Linked DNA regions of Caenorhabditis elegans. The protein of the gene in region 1 purifies or fractionates together with the protein of each later gene. This does not show direct contact. Each region holds a gene or a part of one and is shown on either strand. Other genes may lie near its edges.

Region 1 (4,192 bases):
ATAAGCCCCGAGTTGAGAATGTGATGGCCATAACGGAAAAAATGTGTCAAAAAGTGTTCCGATTAAAAAATGAAAATGGATTATCGATTGATTTATACGAAGACGGAATGATTGCGCCACTTCGAAATGTTTTCTTCAAAAAAGTAACTAGAATTCCATATGATTCAAGCACGGAAATTCGAGATCGCCTGTCTACTCTCTGCCAGAAAAGGAATATTTATGTGACAAGAGAAGAATTAGAAGATGGAAGAAATGCGTTCGTACAATATTGTTATAATCTTTCACTAGATTTATTTCTGTAGGTTTATTTCTTCAAATTGATCACACGAAATATATTATTTCATTTCAGACATATCCTTTCAACAAATGTTAATAAATTCACTGGCAGTGTGCAGATTCAGGCCTTTCGAACATCTGAAGTTCACTCAAATCTTCAAATTCACACCGATACGACATGGTTCGGTGGATCGGCTAGGCTGAAGTCAATTACTTCGTCGACATTAGAACGTGGACGTCCGCCTGCTTCATTATGGCTCACAATCCCATGTGAAGAAAAAGAGCATCTTTTGGAGCATGTATTCGAGCATGGTCTCATTCAATTGATGCCAGACGGTGCTAAGACATTTTTTGACGCTTGGATGATTGGGGTTCGGAAAAGAATGAGAAAACGATTGACAAGTGGAGATTTGAGGTATCGTTTCACTCGAATAATCCTTAAAGTGAATAATTTTTCAGACAAGTAGTGGAGACCGTAATGTCAGAAAGTTCATACAACAGAGAAATGACACTCAACGATGATCGAATAGAGCAATTCGTTGTCAAAATGATTGACAATGTGCTTAACACAAAAAAACTTAAAATCTTTGATGGAAAATGGAAGGACTTTACTATTGATCTGATTAAAAATATGAAAGGAAACCCATTCGGAGAATTCCCTGATTGCCAGAAAATTATTGGAGATGTTTGTGAAAAGAGTAAGATTTTATACTTTTGTTTACATTTTAATCACCTTAATTTTTCAGTGAAACCATCATATCTTTCTCAGCTAACTACTCTGTTCTCCAGTTCACCATCCGATCAGTCAATGCTCGCCCACACTCTACTACAACTTCTTCGATTCGTGGTGTGTCTCTCTTTGAACACTATTCGACATGCTTTTCACTTCCATCGTGAAACGTTCACCGTCTCTTTCGACGGACAACTTGATGATGAAGTTACTGATTTTGATGATTTCGATCAGACAATTTTTTGTGAGGTAAACATACCCAATTGTTATTTAAAACCTTTTGTATAAATTATTTAATTTTTCAGTCATCATCTGCCAACTCGTCCTGCTACCCAACACCACCAATTGAACGTCACATTTTGAGACCTCGCGTGACTCTACTACCAACTCCAACTCTTGTTTTTGTTCCAATTTCGCCTGTAAAGAATCTTCCGAGTGATTTTAATCCTCGAATTGTAAGATTGCATGTATCATAAAATATTCTAAAACCATAATTTCCAGCCTCCTCCTCAAATTTACTCGTCACCTGGGCAAGCCTTGTTCAATCCAACAAACCTCTACCCAACTCCACCATCGTCACTACCGAATACATATGTACCGAATCAGGAATCCTTCGATGAGAGCGTGAATCGAGATAAAAAATCATTCATTTTCAACAATCACTCGAAAGCCAACTTCTCAAATCCAACGTTAACGGCAGAAGTGACAGAAGAAGAACTTCTAAGTGCCCGAGCACTCCGAACACCGTCAGTTGTCAGTGGATCAATGCTTAATCAACTGGATGATGAGGATGGGGATTTACCGAAGAAATGGGTCAATGCTTATAAGCTAACGTTGGAATGGAATCAAGATCTGAAGTCTGAACTGGAAAAAGTGAAAAATCGCTTGGATAAACTTTCATGACATAACCTTGTTATTGAATTTGTTTTGTTATTTTCTTTGTTTGTTGTTAAATTGTCTGTTAATATCAGTTCTAGCGTTCATAAATTTTTTGTTTTACGAAGGTATCAATCTGAGTTTGAAAAATGGATTGACTCGATCATTCATTGAAAATATTGTAATCTTATTGAAAAAACCCTAATTTTTCTCAGGTTTTGCAGAAAGAGAAAATGAGTCAAGTTACATCAGAGGATCAAGACGATCTATTCCTAAAGTTTGATTTTTCAAAAGAACAACAAAAGTACGTTTTTAATTATTCAGAGATCTACAAAACGGATGGGAATCGGTTCCCACTGGAAATTCATCTAATAACCATTGTTTTGACAAAATGTACGACTTGTATGGTGTTGGAGGTGTCAAAAACGTGCTTTGTCTTCGACTTTTCGCCTCATCCCTCTATGAAATTGTAAGAAATGCTCAGATATTTTGGAAAGAATATGAAATTTCAGTCCAATGGAAGTAAGGATGCCCAAAAATTGATGATAACTATCTTCGGTGATCGTCTAGTTCAGAAAATCGCCCATTCCGATTTGAAAATTTACGAATCCATCAGAGAGACTGTACAATATATCGCTTGGAAAATCCGAAAATGCCAAATTTTGTAGGCTTCTGAAAAAGTAGCACAATATTTTCAAACTAACTTTCAGAATTTTCCGCCGTACAAGTGAAAACCATGGATGGCAAAGTGTTCGAGACATTCTGATCAAGATTCTTGGTAACGGAGATAGTGCTCGAGATGATTTGATTGCTGGAATGGTAGTTTTTAGAATCTTTTTATTTGTCTTAATTAAAATTTATTTTTCAGTCCTCCATGATTCTTCGCGACATTTATCACTGCCACGTTACGGAAACAAGCTTCTTGGAAGAAGGATCACTTTTATCAAAGAATTGCTTCAAATATGTCTTTCGTGTTGCTTTCCTTCTTTTCAATGACTCAATCGGCGAATATATTCTTGGTCGGAAGGAGAAGTTGTGCTATGAAATGCTCGCTTCTCGATTGGTTTACTTTTATACTCGACTGGCTGCTGACACTTGGAGGTTAGAAATCGATATTCGATTCTAAATTCATACGTTTCCCTTTTCAGAATTCTTGTTGTTCGCAATGGACCGAAAGTAGAGACGGAGTGGTACATGATGCGTGGCGTACAGGTAACTTTATAAAAAATTGCCCATATTCCAAATTATTTCCAGTTGCGAGATGAGATCCCGGCAAGTTCGAATCAAGACTCCAAACTGACCCAGCTCCAAAAAAACAACAACAATGACCCAATCAGTCAACAGAGACCTCAACTCAGCTTTGGAACTCAGAAAACTATTCAAAGAGCCTAACTTTCATTTTATGTATTTGTTTCGTGTGTTCTACTAGTGTTCCTTCTTACATATCAGATGTTGTATTTATAATCTATATCTGCACCATTCTATTTCCTATCCCATTCTACTTGTGTCCTGTTCTCTGGTCTCAAAATGATCACTATGAGATCTCTTTTCCATAAGTGTTAAAAGCGTGCCATAATGAACTGTTTTATTAAATCGACGTGAGAAAAACGCATATGATTTTCATTTAAAAAACATTTTAATAATGTGAAACACATAAACCTGAAGAATGCAAAAGACTAATCGAAAAAATGCGGGATTAGATTTATCAAATGTGTCAGTTCGTGTGTTTGGTCTCAAAGCAAAAGTAGGCTCCAATTTTTAAATTAAATTTATTAACTAAACATATTCAGTATTGGCTCATTTATTTTATTGTCGTTCAACTGGCTCTAGGAATCTCGAATTTATTGTTTCTCATCCTCAGGTAAACATTCGCAAATTCAATACTTCGCTGTTTAATTTCAGCTTTTCCCACTGGTCGATTTTTATTACATGGCCGCAAAAATGGAATAGTAAAATTAAGCCACGGATTTTTTTCTCCGCGGCCATGTAGCAAAAGTCGATCTGTGGAAAAAATTAAAAGGTTGTGAAACTAGTCGTAAAGTGAATTATTGGTTTAGTTGTTCTTTATTTGCATTTATTCAATATATATTTCTCTGACAGTCTCAAAAAGATCTACAAAAGAGCCAGTTTTGTAGGAAATTTAATTTCGATTAATGTCTTAGCGTGGCCGAGTTTTATCTTTTTCGGATATGACAATAAAGTATCTTTTTGACCACCAAAATAAAATAAAATATATTGATTGTCTTTTCAGTGTAATCAACAATAATAGGACAGACACATCGAGTGGGATATTGAATGTAATAAAACAAT
Region 2 (4,819 bases), on another chromosome or scaffold:
ACATGAGGATTTCGCTTTACTTATCATTTTATAAATTTCGTTATCTGTGACCCATGGTATTCCCTGATGTGAGGTGTAGCTATCTGGGATTTGAAGAGGGCGAGAGGCCTTGTTTATGTATTGGTCTTCAAAATTTGTTGCTAAGATTTCAGCTTTTTCAGTGTCTGTATTTGCGGTATGCCCATCTCTGCTAGTCAGAGAGGGAACTGAAACTACTTTTGGCTTTAGACAATTCTTTACGTCGTGTGTGAATTTAGAATTCCCTCTTTGTTCTAGGTTCTTAAGCTCAACATTTCTACGATATTTCAGTAATTTTTTCCTATACCGTTTAGCTGCGGCCACATAAATCAGAAAGTCTTTTGTGTCCCTTGAATTTAAAGCGTTTCTATAAGTAATTTCAACAAAATCTCTCAGTGCATTGAGGTACGGTGGAAGGAATATCTCATCTGCTTTAACAGTTCTTTTCGGGATTGAGAGTTCAAAAGTGCTTTGCATTTCTGCTAAAAACTGATCAAACATGTCATTCACTGAATTGTGAGCACTAAAGAGTTGATTCCAGTTTATATTGTCAATGCACTGAACACATTTGTTCCAATCAATATTTTTGAAATCATAAACTTCCTTGCTGGCGGTGTGTTGCTTCTGTAGGAGATCAATACTAAACTGGAGTCTACGATGGTCACTGTTTCCTAGTGGTGAAAAAATTTTTATTTTTGAAACATTGAGGTTAGAAAAGACCAAATCAAGGATGTTAGATGCTCTGGTGGGGTTGGTTACGAACTGTTTCAATTTTTGGGTTTTGCAGAATTCTATTAACATTGTGCCTAATCGGGTATCAGATTGTGGATCTTGCCCACTCCAATTAATACTGCTAACATTCAAATCTCCTAGTATAACAATTTGACCCGGGTGATCGGTTATGTCTTCGAGCTTATTCAACAAAGTCACAGTATCATGAAAAGATGCGGTTGGAGGCCTATATATGTTTACTATGCGTAGTGGAGTGACATTGACGTTGACATCTAAGACCAATATTTCGAAAGCTTTGCGTTTCGATTCTGCAAGAACCACACTACAGCTTATACTATTTTTTACTAGAGTACATACTCCGCCGCCCCTTTGTTCATCTGGACGATCTGCACGGTAAACCTGGTAGTTTTTATTATTGAAAATAGAGTTTTGCGTTTTACTTGTAAGCCATGTTTCTTGCAAGCAGACTAAGTCATGTTCATTTGTGGTCAATTCCCCCATTAGTTCTAATCGATTAGCATTAACAGATCTTATATTGGCACATAGTACATTTAATTTGAGGCCTGGGATTGGGGAACAATTTAATTTTGAGAATAAAAAACCTTTAGAATACACGCTCAGTTTTTTGGGACGTTCTTAGCGGGCTGCATAATAGAGACTCGAGGTGGTTGGTTCTGCGTGGAGTTATGTGAAGGATTTTTGTTTACACGTGAACTATTGTTGGTGTGCATGGCGGTGGGTTGGGAATTGGTGGGTTGGAGTGATGTGGATTGACGGAATTTGATGCGGTTTTCTCTAAATTAAAAACAAAGTGTGACATTCAAGCATTGATTGAAGAAAAGCTGGATGTTCTGGTGACTTAAACATTTTCAATGGTTATTCTGGTTTGCTCATGGTCAAACTTCATAATAAATTCAAATCTTCTCAAACTTTGATCGCTCTATGTTCATGTGAACCTTTGGATTGCACAGCTTCATTTAATGATCTGAACAATCTAAATCCAAAACAGACAAACAAGAAAGTTAATCGTCAGTCTCCCGCCCATTCACATTGTAAAATGCTCAAAGTAATTGGTGAGAGAGCAATTGAATTATTAGAGACACAGACAACACACGTTTTTTACACTTTCTGACGGGTCCATAGGATGCGGAAGGGTCGTTTTCTCTGCTCATTTCATTGCTTGTTGATTCTGGTGGTCAACAAAAAAGTTCTAAACTACAATGGGAGGAACATCCTTGGATCCAGCATTGGCCGAGATTGGAAAGAAGAACGGGCTTCTTGTTTGGAGAATTAATGTACGTTTTGTAGTCAATGGAGTAACATTTACAGTGTCAAATCTAGTCTGAACTACGGTACAGTCACAATTATTTCCTAATATTTTAAGTGAAATATTCTGAAATATATTACAAATGTTGTGTGTTCAAAATTAGTTGTCATTGGAAGTGGTCTATAGTTTTAAAATCTTGCACTGTCATCAACAAACTAATATCTTACTCATCCTACGTTTAAACCCTTGAACTTTGAAATGTGTCATATCAAGTTGTTTGTGTCAAAAATATTCCCCAATATCTTCTTTATCCTCCCCACGTATCTATCAGTTCCAATGTTTCGCAATTTCAGAAATTTGTGTTGGAGCCGGTCCCCGAGGTTGATCATGGTGTGTTTTACATTGGAGACGCCTACATTGCACTCTACGTATGTTTTCCTATAGAACAGAATATATGAAAAGAGATGGTTACAGCAAAAGTACGATGGATGTTGGGATGTTCATTTCTGGCTTGGAAAGAATGCATCGACTGATGAAATTGGAGTTGCAGCAATCAAGACTGTAGAGATTGACGATGTAAGAAATGCTTCTAGAAAGTTTTAAAATTTGATTGTTTCAGTCTCTCGGTGGAATTCCAACCCAACATCGTGAAATTCAAAACTACGAATCTCCTCTCTTCTTGTCCTATTTCCCTGACGGAATTCGTTATGTATCTGGTGGTTATGAATCTGGATACCGTCATGTAGACGATCAGTTCAAAAACTGGAAACCTCATTTGTTCCATTGTAAGGGAAAACGAAATGTGAGATGCACGGAGGTAAGGAAAAATAAATAGAAGATAAGAGACATTGAAAGCACACAGAATACAATTCTAGGTGGAATGTGAAGTGAATTCTCTTAATTTGGGAGATGTATTCATTTTGGATCTGGGAAAGGATCTTTATGTTTGGATGCCACCAGAGAGTGGAAGACTTGAAAGAATCAAGGGAATGGCTCGTGCCAAGAATATTGCTGATCATGAAAGAATGGGAATCCCGAAAGTTCATATTCTTGATGATGTTGAATGGGATAATGATTCAACATTCTGGAGTTATTTTGGTGGGGTTTCGTCCGTTAGGAAGGTGTCAAAGGGAAAAGATGACGATGATAACTACTGGAAAAGACTTACGGAGCAAATTACACTTTGGAAGTAAGACAATTTTGAAATTTGACTGGAATTTAAGGGAATTTATTTAACCTATTGAAAATTGATTTATTTCAGAGTTTCCGACGCATCTGGTGCTGCTAAAGTTAGCATGGTTTCTCAAGGCGAAAATATTCGAAAAGAGCAACTTGATCCCAAGGTGAGTTGCCGAATCAGTTTAATTGAAACAATTTTATTTTAATTCAGGATGCCTTCATTCTTGATGCAATTAATGGTGGAATCTTCGTCTGGATTGGACATGAATGTACTCTTGAAGAAAGATCGAAGGCTCTTATTTGGGGGCAGAACTATTTGAAACAGCATGTATGATAATTATTTTATTTCGAAAATAATTCCTTTCACATTTCAGCATCTTCCCCGCTGGACACAAGTTACTAGAGTTCTCGAATCAGCTGAATCTACTCAATTCACCCAATGGTTCCGTGATTGGGTTGATGAGAAAAAGAAGAACACATTCACTCCACTCCTTTTCCAAGTTGGTTTGATGCAATGAGCAATTTTCAGATTGAAGTTTCAGGTTTCCGATGAAAGCGGTCTTCTTCATGTTGAGGAAATTGCAAACTTCACTCAAGAAGATCTTGATGGAGATGATGTCATGATCTTGGATGCTTTGAATTCCATCTACGTTTGGGTTGGAGCAAATGCTAATGCAAATGAGAAGAAAGAAGCATTAAACACTGCAAAGTTGTACTTGGAAAAAGATAAGTTGCCACGTCACAAGAAAACAGCTATTGACACGATCTTCCAAGGAAAAGAACCACCAACTTTCAAGAAATTCTTCCCATCCTGGGACGATAATTTGTTCAAGAATGTAAGTAATTAAATACTCTTATGAAAACAAAAAATATCATGAGCTAACATATTGTATTTCAGGAAGTTCGATCCGTGCAGAACATGCGTCGCCTTCTCTTCCACTAATTAAACTTTTTTAATTTTAATTTTTCATTGTATCTTATAATGTTTCTACATTTCTAATGTAATTTAAAATGACTCATTGAAATAATAAACACTGCCTGATCATAACTTTTTACAAAATAAGTGAAGGGGTACATCAGAAGATCGTAGCTAATAGATCTTTATCAGCTCCTCGGTCTGCCCCACAACCATCGTATTTCGTCGTTTTCTTCTGAGAAAAAGTGAAAACGTGTCATTTTTATGTATCGTTTTCATTCAGAGCTTCCACTCTTCCTTTTCTACATCATCGACCTTGAAATCCTGTGAAAGAACTGTTCAGAACACACTGCTGGGTCTCCATGGCTACACTGATTTCAATCTGAATCTGATATGTCTTGTGAACATTTACACAAACATATGTTGGACGAAGAAAAATAAACTGCTGAAAGAATTAAGAAGGAAGCTATATACAGAGAAATCGAAACGTGCGAAGCGTGAATATTTTCCCGAGACGGAACAATATGAAAATCGGAAAAGTGTCGGGCATTTGCAATACAAGGCTGAGGGGGAGAACGTGAAAAATCTCTGAACGCATTGTTCCCTATAGAAGAATTATTCTCAATTTCATGCAAATATGTCATTGTGTTTTCTTGATTTAACTTTTTTAATTTTATTTTTATCGTCCTATACCGTGATTCAGCCTT

Evidence for each region.
Region 2: the proteins of F59A3.12 (region 1) and gsnl-1 fractionate together in Caenorhabditis elegans (co-fractionation; one large-scale study listed by BioGRID). This does not show direct contact.

Annotation. Positions count from the first base shown.
Region 1 is NC_003279.8:5,512,554-5,516,745, forward strand, and holds F59A3.12 (MIF4G domain-containing protein), read left to right. Parts: upstream 1-2,097; 5' UTR 2,098-2,115; coding exon 2,116-2,159; intron 2,160-2,206; coding exon 2,207-2,351; intron 2,352-2,394; coding exon 2,395-2,546; intron 2,547-2,592; coding exon 2,593-2,701; intron 2,702-2,750; coding exon 2,751-2,983; intron 2,984-3,030; coding exon 3,031-3,094; intron 3,095-3,136; coding exon 3,137-3,274; 3' UTR 3,275-3,472; downstream 3,473-4,192. Other genes in the region: F59A3.2 (SPK domain-containing protein), read left to right, coding at 1-298, 350-691, 736-974, 1,023-1,255, 1,312-1,461, 1,508-1,909; F59A3.13 (G_PROTEIN_RECEP_F1_2 domain-containing protein), read left to right, coding at 3,549-3,626, 3,673-3,743, 4,134-4,179.
Region 2 is NC_003283.11:9,495,135-9,499,953, forward strand, and holds gsnl-1 (Gelsolin-like protein 1), read left to right. Parts: upstream 1-1,907; 5' UTR 1,908-1,970; coding exon 1,971-2,045; intron 2,046-2,370; coding exon 2,371-2,445; intron 2,446-2,491; coding exon 2,492-2,593; intron 2,594-2,636; coding exon 2,637-2,834; intron 2,835-2,892; coding exon 2,893-3,206; intron 3,207-3,278; coding exon 3,279-3,360; intron 3,361-3,407; coding exon 3,408-3,524; intron 3,525-3,570; coding exon 3,571-3,696; intron 3,697-3,738; coding exon 3,739-4,032; intron 4,033-4,094; coding exon 4,095-4,139; 3' UTR 4,140-4,242; downstream 4,243-4,819. UniProt on the Caenorhabditis elegans protein: Calcium-regulated, actin-modulating protein that binds to the plus (or barbed) ends of actin monomers or filaments, preventing monomer exchange (end-blocking or capping).